2 linked regions of the Struthio camelus genome follow. The protein of the gene in region 1 interacts with the protein of each later gene in a biochemical or structural test. Links are inferred from orthologs where the notes say so. Each region holds a gene or a part of one and is shown in the gene's direction. Other genes may lie near its edges.

The links. The genes of interacting proteins can lie anywhere in the genome.
Region 2: the proteins of GLRX5 (region 1) and BOLA3 form a complex in vitro, tested with the Homo sapiens proteins (4 studies listed by BioGRID and IntAct, with this or other methods). The link is inferred for Struthio camelus from reciprocal best matches to the Homo sapiens genes GLRX5 and BOLA3.

The regions. Positions count from the first base shown.
Region 1 is NC_090946.1:67,511,400-67,518,800, forward strand, and holds the start of GLRX5 (glutaredoxin-related protein 5, mitochondrial), read left to right. Parts: upstream 1-4,372; 5' UTR 4,373-4,374; coding exon 4,375-4,681; intron 4,682-7,401.
Region 2 is NC_090968.1:1,073,233-1,080,150, forward strand, and holds the start of BOLA3 (bolA-like protein 3), read left to right. Parts: upstream 1-3,829; 5' UTR 3,830-3,871; coding exon 3,872-3,922; intron 3,923-6,701; coding exon 6,702-6,825; intron 6,826-6,918. Other genes in the region: collagen alpha-1(VII) chain-like, read right to left, coding at 1,132-3,681. UniProt on the Homo sapiens protein: Acts as a mitochondrial iron-sulfur (Fe-S) cluster assembly factor that facilitates (Fe-S) cluster insertion into a subset of mitochondrial proteins. Probably acts together with NFU1.

The DNA.
Region 1 (7,401 bases):
TCAAAAAAGTGGCTTAGATCACGTAAACTGCCCATCAGTTAAATTGACCTAGCTGATTTCATACATGTTCTTTGCCTCTATCAATTATGACATGAACTCTGCTTTATTTTCAACCTATGTTTATTTTATTTTTGGGAATATGCTATAAGTCCATGAATTCATTACCCACCTAGAACAGAAATAAACTTGCAAAGTAGATACTGTTTAGATTCTAAATCTAAATCCGTAGTTTTCCATTGGACTCAAGTTTCTACCAATAAAACTCTCAAAACTCTACATTTCTGCTGCTTGACACACAACTTTTTCAAACTATCACATCTTCAAAATGGTCAGGAACTTTTCACAGCTGTTTTTTCAGCGTTCACATTTTAGGCATCCACACAAGTTGTAACAGTGCAATCCAAAACTGTTACGTACACTTCAAGAACTCTCAATGCTCTCAAAACAAAGGATACGTCAGTGCTGCCAGACATTGCCCTAACAGTATGTCCAAATTATTCCCCAGGCATGCAGAACAGCAGGAGCTCAATCTTCCTGAAAAGCTTCAAGAGGAAATAAAAGCGTCTAAGCAGAGCTCCGTGGTTACGGTACATAGGAGACTTCAGGGCACTATCACAAGTCAGGACAACATGGAGATAACTGACTTGGGCAGAAAGGTGTCCCGTTCTGACAAGATGAAATAAGACCTTTTTTCCAACCTTTTTCGTCATCTAATTTAGCCATTTTTTTCCTGCTGCTTCTCCTGTCTAACTCCTCCTGTGAACTGTATAAGAACCTCAAATCGCCAATTCACAACTAGTAATTCTGTTCAGCAGCAAAATGACTGGAAGTAATCTAACTTGAGACTCTAACCTTGAATATTTAAGCACAGCAGTTTGAATATTGGTACTTTTATCACTGATTTCAGAACGAGATGATAATAATTCTTCTAACAGGAAGATCAGCAAAATGTCAGGAGTCCCATTAGTATTTCTTCTGAATGGCAGATTTAAATCATTACCTGGAAAATACAAGAGGCTTCACTTAGACTGATGGAAGATTCGACCAGACAGGAAATAATTATTTCTCTATAACAACAGTGTACATGGGGTCACTGTTCCAAATCTTACCAGCAATAAGTATTGTTATTTCATAATTCAAAAAGCATTTCTGTACCTTGATCATACTAAATATTTTATTAAAAAGCATTCTATTAACCTTAATATTACCTCACAGGCCACTTGTTTCACAAGGTTACAGTGAATTATTATAAATTCAGGTACTTGTAGTTAACCCAGTAAATGGAAATGTTCTCCTAAACCTAACATGTATAGCAGTTTTAAGTGTTCAGCAGATGCTACTCAATTTGCTAAACAATATCAGACTGCAAAATTGCTCTTACTGTTGATAGATCAATAATGACATGGGATAAGTCATTATCTCCGTGGCAACAGAATTATAACTGTCAGAGGAATAATGCACATGTTGCTGCTGCGACTCTTACAGGCATGCCTCGGCTTCCTCACACAGCTGCTCTCTCTGCAAGCCTGGTATGCCCAGAGTACTAACAACCAAGGGCACCTCTTGGACTACAGAGAACGAAACTATAATAGTGGCTACATTATTCTTGGAAGAGCACATCCTCACAAGGGTTTCCACACACTTCAATTTTATATCCTTATTTCATTTCTTTTATTTTCTCTAAGCATCTCCTTGCATAAATAGCTAGACTGAAATTTGGGAAGGCAAATACTATGAAGTTCTCTTGGCAGCCCAACATTTTCTAGGTTGAAGATGTTTACCTGTCTTTCAGAAAAGAAAAATCTTTCTCTTTTAACTCAATTTCCATTTAATTCCCTCCTCACTTCCTAGGATCTTAAAATGGCAAGATTCTTTTTGCTGGATCAAAACTGACAAAGTAGCTCACTCGGTCTATTACAGGTAACACTTAAGCCTCTGCCTGTGGTATCATACCAGTTCAACAAAAACCAGAATTATTTTTTCCTTGCAGAATTTACTAAAATATCATTTGGTAGGAACTGGATGCTACTTATTTTACACATATTGAAGATCTTGCCCCATGTTAGTCACCGTACATGAACTGCAGAAAACACTAACTTTTCTATGTCTTGATCAGCATGACTGTGCTTAGCTCTTTACAGTCTACCTGGCAGCAAAACATACTGATGCACAAAATGCACGATATTTATCAACAACACTGTAACTTCACCTCTTGATTTTTTATTAAAAGTATTTCTGTGTAAGTACAGATACTCTCAAATACTACACTTTTTTGTTTTCAAGCATTTATAACCTATTCACATGGGAAGGGAGTGTAGTTTTGCCACAATTTTCTTTGAAATTTGTTCTAATTAAATTGCAATAAAAGACCACAGAAGCAATGCTTGAAGTTAAGTCAGTTTAGAAATTCAGTGTGAAAAGTACATCTCACTTTTTCTGAGCAAGAGTTTCTGTCTAGAGTATTCTTCAAAGGTTCAAAGCATTTTTTTTGTTTAATTATGCAGAAAATGAAAAATGAGTTGTCACTCAATTGTCAGTTTGATTCTACAAAATGAAAAACTAGAAAACCCAGCCTTCTGAATACTGAAGAAAAGCTTCAGTAAAGCTTTCACATTAGCGTTACCAGGGGAAAAAGTTCTTTTCCTTAAAAAAAGCATGTCAAGTAATATAAATGGCCATTAACATACCAGAAGTCTAAATGGCAGAGCCACAATGCATACTAGTACTCAGGAATATACTTTGATTTGTTATTTGTGGAAAACATTGATTTTGTGCTTTACTTAAAAAACAAACAAACAAAAAAACCCACCCTTCAACACTTTCTCTCTACTTTCAGTACGGACCTAGCTGCTGTAGAAGATTTCTATGCTCTGCTCCAAATCTTTGGCAAAAATTCAGAATCAGCCCAGGAGCGCTAACAAAGTTAGTGGCATACGTGGCTATTTCCAGGACACATTCCAATTTCAGCAGTTTCCTGACTGATACAGTGTGGTTCTGCTGGTCTTTCAGCAAACCAGCCAAGCCTTTCGCACATACAGTTAAACATTCCAGCCTTTGCTCCCATCTCTCCATCTTGCTGCAGTCTCAGCCAGTTGATCCAGCAACATACCAAGCTGCACAAAGGTATCAGTTACTTTAGTACTAGCAGCTAGGACTTATTTTAAGTGAAGCACGCAGAGAACTGCCAGCTCCTTGATAATATCAACTGCCATATTCAGTATGCCCACCAAAACCAAACAAATCAAGCCCAACAACTGAATGCAGTCAAAATGGTCAGTAGAAACAAACAAAGGCACCAAGAAGACCGACACTTCTAGCATGTGTTCCTCCAATGTTTCTTCCACCTACCTAGACAAAAGAACCAAGAAGTACTGATTCAACAGTGCTGCTCTTTTTAGGACACGCTTCTGCCACTACAGCTTACACGTATTTCTACACAGTTCACCGCCAAAGGGCTTTACTCTGCACAGGCAAAAGATACACAAGCGCCCACCCTTTCCGCAGCCACACTTTCCTCACGTTTCATGTCAGCATTTAACGTTGTTTTAGAGCCTCGATCACCTCCCCCCTCCCCCAACCCCAGGGAGCTCTACCACAGTCTGCATTACCAGAGACCTGACTGAAAGAAACCAGTCTCCCGTCCTCAGCGCTGAGAGCGCTGGTTTTTATTAGCCACAACCCCCATGCGTCGAAACAGACCCCAAACGCAGCGCCCGCTCCGCTCCGCCCGAGAAGCGCCAGGCCCTGCCCGCACACAGAGGCTCCGGCGGGCACCCAGCACCGACGAACCGCCGCCCACGGCCTGCCGCGCCACATGGCCCAGACCGGCCCGACCCAGCTCGGTCCGGCAGCGGGGACACAGCAGGCCCGCATCCTCCCAAGCGGGCTAGGGGCAAGGAGGCCGGGCCGGGCCGGGCCCCGCCGCGGGCCGTGAGGCGGCTGAGAGGCCGCAGGCGCCTCTGGCCGCACCGCCACGAGCGCGGCCGTTACCCGGAAGCGGAAAGAGCCGCGCGCTCACCCCGCCTACGGCTCCCCGGGCAAAACACGGCCCTGGGGCAGCGCGACCAACAGCGGCTGGGGAAGGGGAGGCGGGATTAGCCAAATTAGATCGGAGTGGCAGATGCCCCACCCAATGCAACTGCGGCAACTCGATTCCTCCACAAATAGGAAAGCAGGGTGTCTTTAGCGTTGACGGGTGGGAGCAGGCTGGCTGGCTCCTAGTGCTACTGGCTAGTGGCGTTGATTGGCAGGCAACTACTCCTATGCGGAAGAGACGCTCCTCGTGACCTGTTCTCCTCTCTACCAATAGGCGGGCGGCGGCGGGGGCTGCGGGCCGGCGGAGCGCGGCGGGGGCAGCAGCGGCCGCGGGGCAGGATGAGTGGGGCCCTGCGCGCGGCCTGGCGGCTGCGCGGCGCCGCGCGGGGCTGGGCCGGGCGGCGGCGGCTGAGCCAGGCGGCGGCTGGCGGGGCCGAGGACGGCGGCGGCGATGGCGGCGGCGGCTCGGGGTCGCGGGAGGCGGTGGAGCGGCTGGTGCGGGCGCACCCGGTGGTGGTGTTCATGAAAGGCAGCCCGGCGCAGCCGCTCTGCGGCTTCAGCAACGCCGTGGTGCAGATCCTGCGGCTGCACGGCGTGCAGGACTACCGCGCCCACGACGTGCTGCAGGACCCCGACCTCCGCCAAGGTCAGCCGCCGGGCCGGGCCGCGGCCCGTGGGGCGGGTGTCGCGCCGCGAGGGGTCACCTTCAGTCACGGCCTGCGCGGGGCTGCGGCTGCGGGGAGTTGAAAATCGCCCCGAGGCCCGCGCCGTGCCCCCGTCTGCGTGTCCCTTCCCCTCGACGGTGTGGCGAGGCGCGTTTGTTACGGGGATCAGCAGCCCTTTGCCCGCAGGGTGCTCAGGCCACGCAAACCCTGCCTTGCGCAGTGTCCGTTTCCATACCCGCAACGCCCCCCAGGGAGTCCGGCATGTATGACTCTGCCCCCAAAACTTACTTTTGTTACGTTTTCTCACTTTCTCGTGCGCTATTTATTGCTCGAAAAATTGGGTCGTTAGATCACCAAGCTGATAATTATGTGGTATTCCTTTTATTTATTTATTTTTTTCCTTCAGAGATATCAGTTTCTTTTGCTTTCTTTCTTGTTTTCTGCTTCATAAGAAGGCTTACATCCCAGGGGCTTGGGGGTGTGTGGAATGCAAAGCATATTGCAGAGATGAAGTTCAGAGATTGCCCTGCCTAGATGTGTCTGTTTGACTTCTGTAATGCTTATTGCGTCTCTGAGCGTTTTAATTACATACAGAATACAGTTATGCTTATAGGGAAATTCTTGGAGACCGGGCTTTTCATGCCATGCTGCTTTTCCTAATTAATAGATACAAGATTGTATTAAGAGACTCCTAAAATACTTCATTTTCTAATCAGAATTTTTATTTTCCTGGCAAATACAACAGTATTGTGAAACTTGATGGGTAGCTTGGAAAAGCTCAGGCTTGTGCTGTTGTGTTCTCTGCTGGCACTGCCAGCCGAGGATCTCTACTACTTTTCACAAAAGTACAAAATTATGCTTGCTTTATGCCAGTTACTTGTGCAAGAAATATTTATTAGAAGCTTCACTATTACTACTCAAGTGGTAGGAACTACCGTATATGAGGTATTTTTGCCGATTTGTAGAATGCAGATTCTCTGCTCACCCGATGCTTTTGTGCTATCTTTCCCTGTTGGAAATGCATAGTTGGCCAACCGTTGACGTTGCATGTGGTTATTTGAGAAAGTTTTAAACAGAAAAAGTATGTAGTAATTGGTCTTGCAGGTGCATAGCATTAGTATTTCAGAGAATATGCTAAAATGTGTATTAAATCTCCGTTCTGCAGAAAAAAGTAGTGCTGGCATGTATCAAGTGACTTCCCATATGTTTTTGATCTCAGCTGACTTAGTTTTTCATTAGCTGTTAGCTGAAATGCTGATTCTCTAGTCTTGCTCCCCTAAGATGCTTTTCGATTCACAGCTATAATTGTATAAAAACTTAAATAGTAGAATTTTGCTGTGCTTGTGACATGCTTTATTAATGAAGGTTGGATTTATTAATTTATTTAAATAAATCTCTTTACCAGCCTTTGGCAAGTGAACAAATCGTGGTAGTTTTCTAAGCTTTAATGCATATTTACATTTATTAATCTTATGGTTTACTAGAACAAATTGGTAAATTACAAGACCTTTGTGCCCGCTCCCCAATTCATTGAAATCAAGTGTTCAGCGTTTCATTTTTGGTAGAGAGGGCTTTCATGAACACTTGAATGGGCAATGCTTAGGTCAGTTACTGTCTCTGAGGATTGGACCACGTGGATAGATTTGTATTTTTTTTTCTATGAAACAAGAACATTTCCCTTTTGAGCATAATTTTTTTTCTATGAAACAAGAACATTTCCCTTTTGAGCATAGCAAACGTTTCTTCCAGATGATCTTTGACTTGTGTTAGGTGATCTGAGAAGTTAGTGCCCTCCTGGGTACCTGAGCTTGAAATTGAAATTAGTGGTTTACTCTGGATTGTTTGGATAATTTTGGATAACTTTGTTTCGCACTGAATGCAGCAGCTGAGGATGCACTTGCACATTTCTGATCGTTGTTAGATGCTGAGAGGAGTATATTCTGTTCTGTTCCCTTCCTTGCAGCAGCTTTGGCACTTTCCCCACTGCGCAGAGAGCCAACTTAGTTTATTAATGGGTTTCTGGGCTCGTGAGTTGAACTAGCTTTTTGTAGTGTGCGGTGAATGCTAGAGCCAGCATGAGAGATGGAGCCTTGAGATGAGGACCTGGGGAATAGCGTCATTGCTCTCAAGGCCAGTGGCTGTTATATTGCTTCAGCTGTATTACCTATTGCACCCTGAAAAGTCAGTATATGCTTCTGTCAGTGGATGGCTGCCTCTGTCAGAGGAGAAGGCTGGGCTGCTGTAGCTCTAAATTTTCCAGGGTGATTTACCTGTGATTGAAGGCCCTCCTAGTCTGTTCCTGGATCTGGAGATATAGCTATGAAGATATCTAATGCACCTCTTCAATTAGAGAAACTACTGCTCTGCATAGGAGAATAGTTTGATAATTCTTTAATCTGACACAGCATTCATGAGTGCTAATGCTGGCAAAAGACAGACTGAGAATTTGTCACTGGAGCTGGGGAGTTGGGGTGGCAGTGCTCTAGATACCCTTTTCAGTAGCCATTTGCATAGACTCTGGTTTCACAATCGGCTTTAAATGTGCCAGTTCAGCTGTCAAGCTTTAAATCAGATCTGTGGATTGTGGTTTTACAAAACAAACAAGCAATATTTAAAAAACAGAAGCCTACAGTTTTTTCACTGCCTCAGTTGTGTGAATGAGCTCTTTGCAGCTGTGTAAGTGCAGCTGGAAAGCGTTAAC
Region 2 (6,918 bases), on another chromosome or scaffold:
CACGGCGCGCCCTTGGGCTCCGTGGCGTCCGTCCGTCCGTCCCCGGGGCGGGCGGCCCGCGGCCGGGCTTTGGGCGGGGGGGGGGGGTCCCCGGTCCCCTTTCCGTCGGGTTTCCCCCACCCCCCCCCCACCCCAGGGGGTTTTAGCGAGCGCTTCTGTTAATTCTGGTTTGTTCCCCCCCCCCCCGGCCATCGCTTTTTTGGTTGGATTTTTCCCAAGCAAAGCGGCGCGCGGATGGAGGCGGAGAGGGCGGCGGCGGCCGCCGGGGTGGCTCGTCCCTCGGACTTCCTATTCGGTGACAAGGCCTCCAATGGAGGCAACCTTGTGACTCACACTTGAAGATTTAACCTGTTTTTTCCTATTCTTTTCCCCCTTTTTCCCCCCTTTTTCCTTTTTTTCCTTTTTTTCCTTTTTTCCTTTTCCTTTTTTCCTTTTTCCTTTTTCCTTTTTTCTTTTTTCCTCTTTTATTTTTTCCTCTTTTCCTTTTTCTTTTTTCCTTCTTTCTTTTTTTTCTTTTTTTTTCCTTTTTTCCTTTTTTCTCCTTTTATTCCCCCCCCCCGTTTTTTTTCTTTTTCGTCGACTTGTGACTGTGGTTACTTGAAATGAAGTTTTATCCGGGGTTGAGTGACGGGCGGTAGATCTTACAATGTCTCAAGGCAATAGGATTAATGTGTATTAAACTGTAGATACTACTAGGACAGTAAATTTATGCCGATAATTTTATTTTGTATAATTTCCCCCCCCCCCTTTTGTTGGTGTTTTTTCTTACACTTCCCCCCTCTGCCCCCAGTGTTTCGGTAAATTTATTTTTAGGAGGCCTGAAAATTGCAAGTATGGATCCTTCCCTCTTTTTTTTTTTTAATTTGTATTTTATTCTGAGTTACACACAACCAGCCGGTTTGTGAAATGTATTATTCCTGATATCTTTAAAATATTGTGGGTGTTTTAATAAATTTTATATTTATTTTTTGCACTCAAATTCAGCAGCCCTTTTTGTTTCCTGTGTGTGGGGAGTGGGAAATGGGGGGGGTCCCTGTCCATGGAGGTCCCTGTCCATAGGGGTCCCCGGTCCATAGGGTCCCCTGTCCATGGAGGTCCCTGTCCATGGGGTTGCCCTGTCCATAGGGTCCCCTATCCATGGGGGTCCCCTGTCCATGGAGGTCCCTGTCCATAGGGTCCCCAGTCCATGGGGTCCCCAGTCCATGGGGGTCCCCTGTCCATAGGGTCCCCTGTCCATAGGGTCCCCAGTCCATGGGGGTCCCCTGTCCATAGGGTCCCCTGTCCATGGAGGTCCCTGTCCATGGGGTCCCCTGTCCATAGGGTCCCCTGTCCATGGGGGTCCCTGTCCATAGGGTCCCCTGTCCATGGAGGTCCCTGTCCATAGGGTTCCCCTGTCCATAGGGTCCCCAGTCCATGGGGTCCCCAGTCCATGAGGGTCCCTGTCCATGGGGTCCCCTGTCCATAGGTTCCCCTGTCCATGAGGGTCCCTGTCCATGGAGGTCCCTGTCCATAGGGTCCCCTGTCCATGGGGTCCCCAGTCCATGGGGGTCCCCAGTCCATGGGGGTCCCCAGTCCATGGAGGTCCCTGTCCATGGGGGTCCCCTGTCCATGAGGGTCCCTGTCCATGGGGGTCCCCTGTCCATGGGGTCCCCTGTCCATAGGGTCCCCAGTCCATGGGGGTCCCCAGTCCATGGAGGTCCCTGTCCATGAGGGTCCCTGTCCATGGAGGTCCCTGTCCATGGGGGTCCCCTGTCCATGGGGTTCCCCTGTCCATAGGGTCCCCTGTCCATGGGGTCCCCTGTCCATGGGGTCCCGAGTCCATAGGGTCCCCAGTCCATGGGGTCCCCTGTCCATAGGGTCCCCTGTCCATGGGGTCCCTGTCCATGGAGGTCCCTGTCCATAGGGTCCCCTGTCCATGAGGGTCCCTGTCCATGGGGGTCCCCTGTCCATGGAGGTCCCTGTCCATGAGGGTCCCTGTCCATGAGGGTCCCCAGTCCATGAGGGTCCCCTGTCCATGGGGTCCCCTGTCCATAGGGTCCCCTGTCCATGAGGGTCCCTGTCCATGGGGGTCCCCAGTCCATGGAGGTCCCTGTCCATGAGGGTCCCTGTCCATGGAGGTCCCTGTCCATGGGGGTCCCCTGTCCATGGGGTCCCCTGTCCATAGGGTCCCCTGTCCATGAGGGTCCCTGTCCATGGGGGTCCCCAGTCCATGGAGGTCCCTGTCCATGAGGGTCCCTGTCCATGGAGGTCCCTGTCCATGGAGGTCCCTGTCCATGGGGGTCCCCAGTCCATGGAGGTCCCTGTCCATGAGGGTCCCTGTCCATGAGGTTCCCTGTCCATAGGGTCCCCTGTCCATAGGGTCCCCTGTCCATGGGGGTCCCCTGTCCATGGGGTCCCTATCCGCGGGGTCCCTGTCCATGAGGGTCCCTGTCCATGGAGGTCCCTGTCCATGGGGGTCCCCTGTCCATGGGGTCCCCTGTCCATAGGGTCCCCTGTCCATGAGGGTCCCCAGTCCATGGAGGTCCCTGTCCATGAGGGTCCCTGTCCATGGGGTCCCCTGTCCATGGAGGTCCCTGTCCATAGGGTCCCCTGTCCATAGGGTCCCCTGTCCATGGGGTCCCTATCCGCGGGGTCCCTGTCCATGGAGGTCCCTGTCCATAGGGTCCCCTGTCCATGGGGTCCCCTGTCCATAGGGTTCCCCTGTCCATAGGGTCCCCTATCCATGGGGGTCCCCTGTCCATGGAGGTCCCTGTCCATGGGGGGTCCCCTGTCCATAGGGTCCCCAGTCCATGGGGGTCCCCTGTTCATGGAGGTCCCTGTCCATGGGGGTCCCCTGTCCATAGGGTCCCCTGTCCATGGAGGTCCCTGTCCATGGGGTCCCCTGTCCATGGGGGTCCCTGTCCATAGGGTCCCCTGGCCATGGAGGTCCCTGTCCATAGGGTTCCCCTGTCCATAGGGTCCCCAGTCCATGGGGTCCCCAGTCCATGAGGGTCCCTGTCCATGAGGTCCCCTGTCCATAGGTTCCCCTGTCCATGAGGGTCCCTGTCCATGGAGGTCCCTGTCCATAGGGTCCCCTGTCCATGAGGGTCCCTGTCCATGGAGGTCCCTGTCCATAGGGTCCCCAGTCCATGGGGGTCCCCTGTCCATGGAGGTCCCCTGTCCATAGGGTCCCCTGTCCATGAGGGTCCCTGTCCATGGAGGTCCCTGTCCATAGGGTCCCCTGTCCATGGGGTCCCCTGTCCATGGAGGTCCCTGTCCATGAGGGTCCCTGTCCATGGGGGTCCCCAGTCCATGGAGGTCCCTGTCCATAGGGTCCCTGTCCATGGGGTCCCTGTCCATGGGGGTCCCCTGTCCATGAGGGTCCCTGTCCATGAGGGTCCCTGTCCATGGAGGTCCCTGTCCATAGGGTCCCCTGTCCATGAGGGTCCCTGTCCATGGAGGTCCCTGTCCATAGGGTTCCCAGTCCATGGGGGTCCCCTGTCCATGGAGGTTCCCTGTCCATAGGGTCCCCTGTCCATGAGGGTCCCTGTCCATGGAGGTCCCTGTCCATGGGGTCCCCAGTCCATGGAGGTCCCTGTCCATGAGGGTCCCTGTCCATGGGGGTCCCCAGTCCATGGAGGTCCCTGTCCATGAGGGTCCCTGTCCATGGGGGTCCCCTGTCCATGGGGGTCCCCTGTCCATGGGGTCCCTATCCGCGGGGTCCCCCGCCCGCGGGGGCGGTGCGGAGCGCCGCGGGTCCGCCGGGCCGCCAGAGGGCGCCGCCGCGGCCGCCGCCGCCGCCGCCGCGGGTGCCGGGGCGGGTGCCGCCCCCGTGGGCGGGGCGCGCTGCCATTGGCCGGGCGGCGCGTGACCCCGCGGGGCGCCGCCCACTATGGCCGCCGCCGGGGCCGGGGCGGGCGCGGGGCTGCTGGGCCGCCGGCCGGTGAGTCTGTCCGTCCGTCCGTGTGTGCCCCCGCCCAGTCCAGGGTAGGGGGTGGGGGCGCCTTGTCCTTGCCCGGGACTCCCTCCTCCCAGCTTCTGGGGGGGGGGGTCCGTCTCTCTGTGCCCCCCCCCCCGCCCCGGTCCCGGCGGAGGAGCCGCCCGCCCCCCGGCGGCCCCCCCATCTCAGTCCATGGTGGAGGAGCCCGCCCCCCCCCCCCCGGCGGCCCCCCCATCTCAGTCCATGGTGGAGGAGCCCGCCCCCCCCCCCGGCGGCCCCCCCCATCCCAGTCCATGGTGAAGGAGCGCCCCCCCCCCCCATCTCAGTCCATGCTGGAAGAGCCCCCCCCCCCCCATCTCAGTCCATGGTGAAGGAGCGCGCCCCCCCCCGGGCGCCCCCCATCCCTGTCATGGTGAAGGAGGCGCCCCCCCCCCAATCCCAGTCCGTGCTGGAGGAGCCCCCCCCCCCATCCCAGTCCATGGTGAAGGAGCCCCCCCCCCCCCATCCCAGTCCATGCTGGAAGAGCCCCCCCCCCCCCCATCCCAGTCCATGGTGAAGGTGCCCCCCCCCCCATCCCAGTCCATGGTGAAGGAGCGCCCCCCCCCCCCATCTCAGTCCATGGTGGAGGAGCCCCCCCCCCCCATCTCAGTCCATGCTGGAAGAGCCCCCCCCCCCCAATCCCAGTCCATGGTGAAGGAGCGCCCCCCCCCCCCCGGGCGCCCCCCATCCCTGTCATGGTGAAGGAGGCGCCCCCCCCCCAATCCCAGTCCGTGCTGGAGGAGCCCCCCCCCCCCCCATCCCAGTCCATGGTGAAGGAGCCACCCCCCCCCAATCCCAGTCCATGCTGGAAGAGCCCCCCCCCCCCATCCCAGTCCATGGTGAAGGTGCCCCCCCCCCCCATCCCAGTCCATGGTGAAGGAGCCCCCCCCCCCCATCTCAGTCCATGGTGGAGGAGCCCCCCCCCCCATCTCAGTCCATGCTGGAAGAGCCCCCCCCCCCCATCCCAGTCCATGGTGAAGGAGCGCCCCCCCCCCCCGGGCGCCCCCCATCCCTGTCATGGTGAAGGAGGCGCCCCCCCCCCCAATCCCAGTCCGTGCTGGAGGAGCCCCCCCCCCATCCCAGTCCATGGTGAAGGAGCCCCCCCCCCCCAATCCCAGTCCATGCTGGAAGAGCCCCCCCCCCCCATCCCAGTCCATGGTGAAGGTGCCCCCCCCCCATCCCAGTCCATGGTGAAGGAGCCCCCCCCCCCATCTCAGTCCATGGTGGAGGAGCCCCCCCCCCCATCTCAGTCCATGCTGGAAGAGCCCCCCCCCCCCATCCCAGTCCATGGTGAAGGAGCGCCCCCCCCCCCGGGCGCCCCCCATCCCTGTCATGGTGAAGGAGGCGCCCCCCCCCCCATCTCAGTCTGTGCTGGAGGAGCCCCCCCCCCCCATCCCAGTCCATGGTGAAGGAGCCCCCCCCCCCCCAATCCCAGTCCATGCTGGAAGAGCCCCCCCCCCATCCCAGTCTATGGTGAAGGTGCCCCCCCCCCATCCCAGTCCATGGTGAAGGAGCGCCCCCCCCCCCGGGCGTCCCCCATCCCTGTCATGGTGAAGGAGGCGCCCCCCCCCCCCAATCCCAGTCCGTGCTGGAGGAGCCCCCCCCCCCCCAATCCCAGTCCATGCTGGAAGAGCCCCCCCCCCATCCCAGTCCATGGTGAAGGTGCCCCCCCCCCCATCCCAGTCCATGGTGAAGGAGCGCCCCCCCCATCCCAGTCCATGGTGAAGGAGCCCCCCCCCCCCATCTCAGTCCATGGTGGAGGAGCCCCCCCCCCCATCTCAGTCCATGCTGGAAGAGCCCCCCCCCCCCATCCCAGTCCATGGTGAAGGAGCCCCCCCCCCCCCATCTCAGTCCATGGTGGAGGAGCCCCCCCCCCCATCTCAGTCCATGCTGGAAGAGCCCCCCCCCCCATCCCAGTCCATGGTGAAGGAGCGCCCCTCCCCCCATCCCAGTCCATGGTGAAGGAGCCCCCCCCCCATCTCAGTCCATGGTGGAGGAGCCCCCCCCCCCATCTCAGTCCATGCTGGAAGAGCCCCCCCCCCCCCATCCCAGTCCATGGTGAAGGAGCGCCCCCCCCCCCCCCGGGCGCCCCCCCCATCCCTGTCATGGTGAAGGAGGCGCCCCCCCCCCCCATCTCAGTCCGTGCTGGAGGAGCCCCCCCCCATCCCAGTCCATGGTGAAGGAGCCCCCCCCCCCCCCCAATCCCAGTCCATGCTGGAAGAGCCCCCCCCCCCATCCCAGTCCATGGTGAAGGTGCCCCCCCCCCCATCCCAGTCCATGGTGAAGGAGCGCCCCCCCCCCCCCCGGGGCACCCCCCCATCCCAGTCCATGGTGAAGGAGCCCCCCCCCCCCCCAATCCCAGTCCGTGCTGGAAGAGCCCCCCCCCCCCCATCCCAGTCCATGATGAAGGAGCCCCCCCCCCCATCCCAGTCCATGGTGAAGGCCACACCCCCCCCCCCCCCCAAAACCTTCTCCTGGTGCCCCCCATCCTGTCCTGGTGCTGGCTGCCTTCCCCTTCTCCTGGTGCCCTGGACCCCAGGTAACAGTGAAGGGACCTTCTCCCCACCCTGCCCCCTCTGATACCACCCCCCCCCATGCTGGTGATGGTCCCCAACTTTGGTAGTGGTTGGGGGTGAGCCCTGGTGAAGGGACCCCCCCCCCCCAAGTCCATGTTTGCTGCGGGAAGCGTCCCGGCTCCGAGGGGTGCTGCCTGCGGCGCTGACGGCTGCCTCGGCGCCCCCAGCTCTTGCTGCGCTGCAGCGCCTGGAGACCCTTCAGCTCGCAGACGGATGGGGAGGCCAGGGTGGCCCGAGTCCTGCGCGAGAAATTCCCCCGGGCTTCTGCCATCAGAGTCGTGGATATCTCCGGTAAGAAGACCAAGAGGGCTAAGACAGCTCTTGGGGGGTTTTTTCCCCCCCTACCTACCTTCAACCAGGCCCTGCACGTTGTGAGGGCCGGGT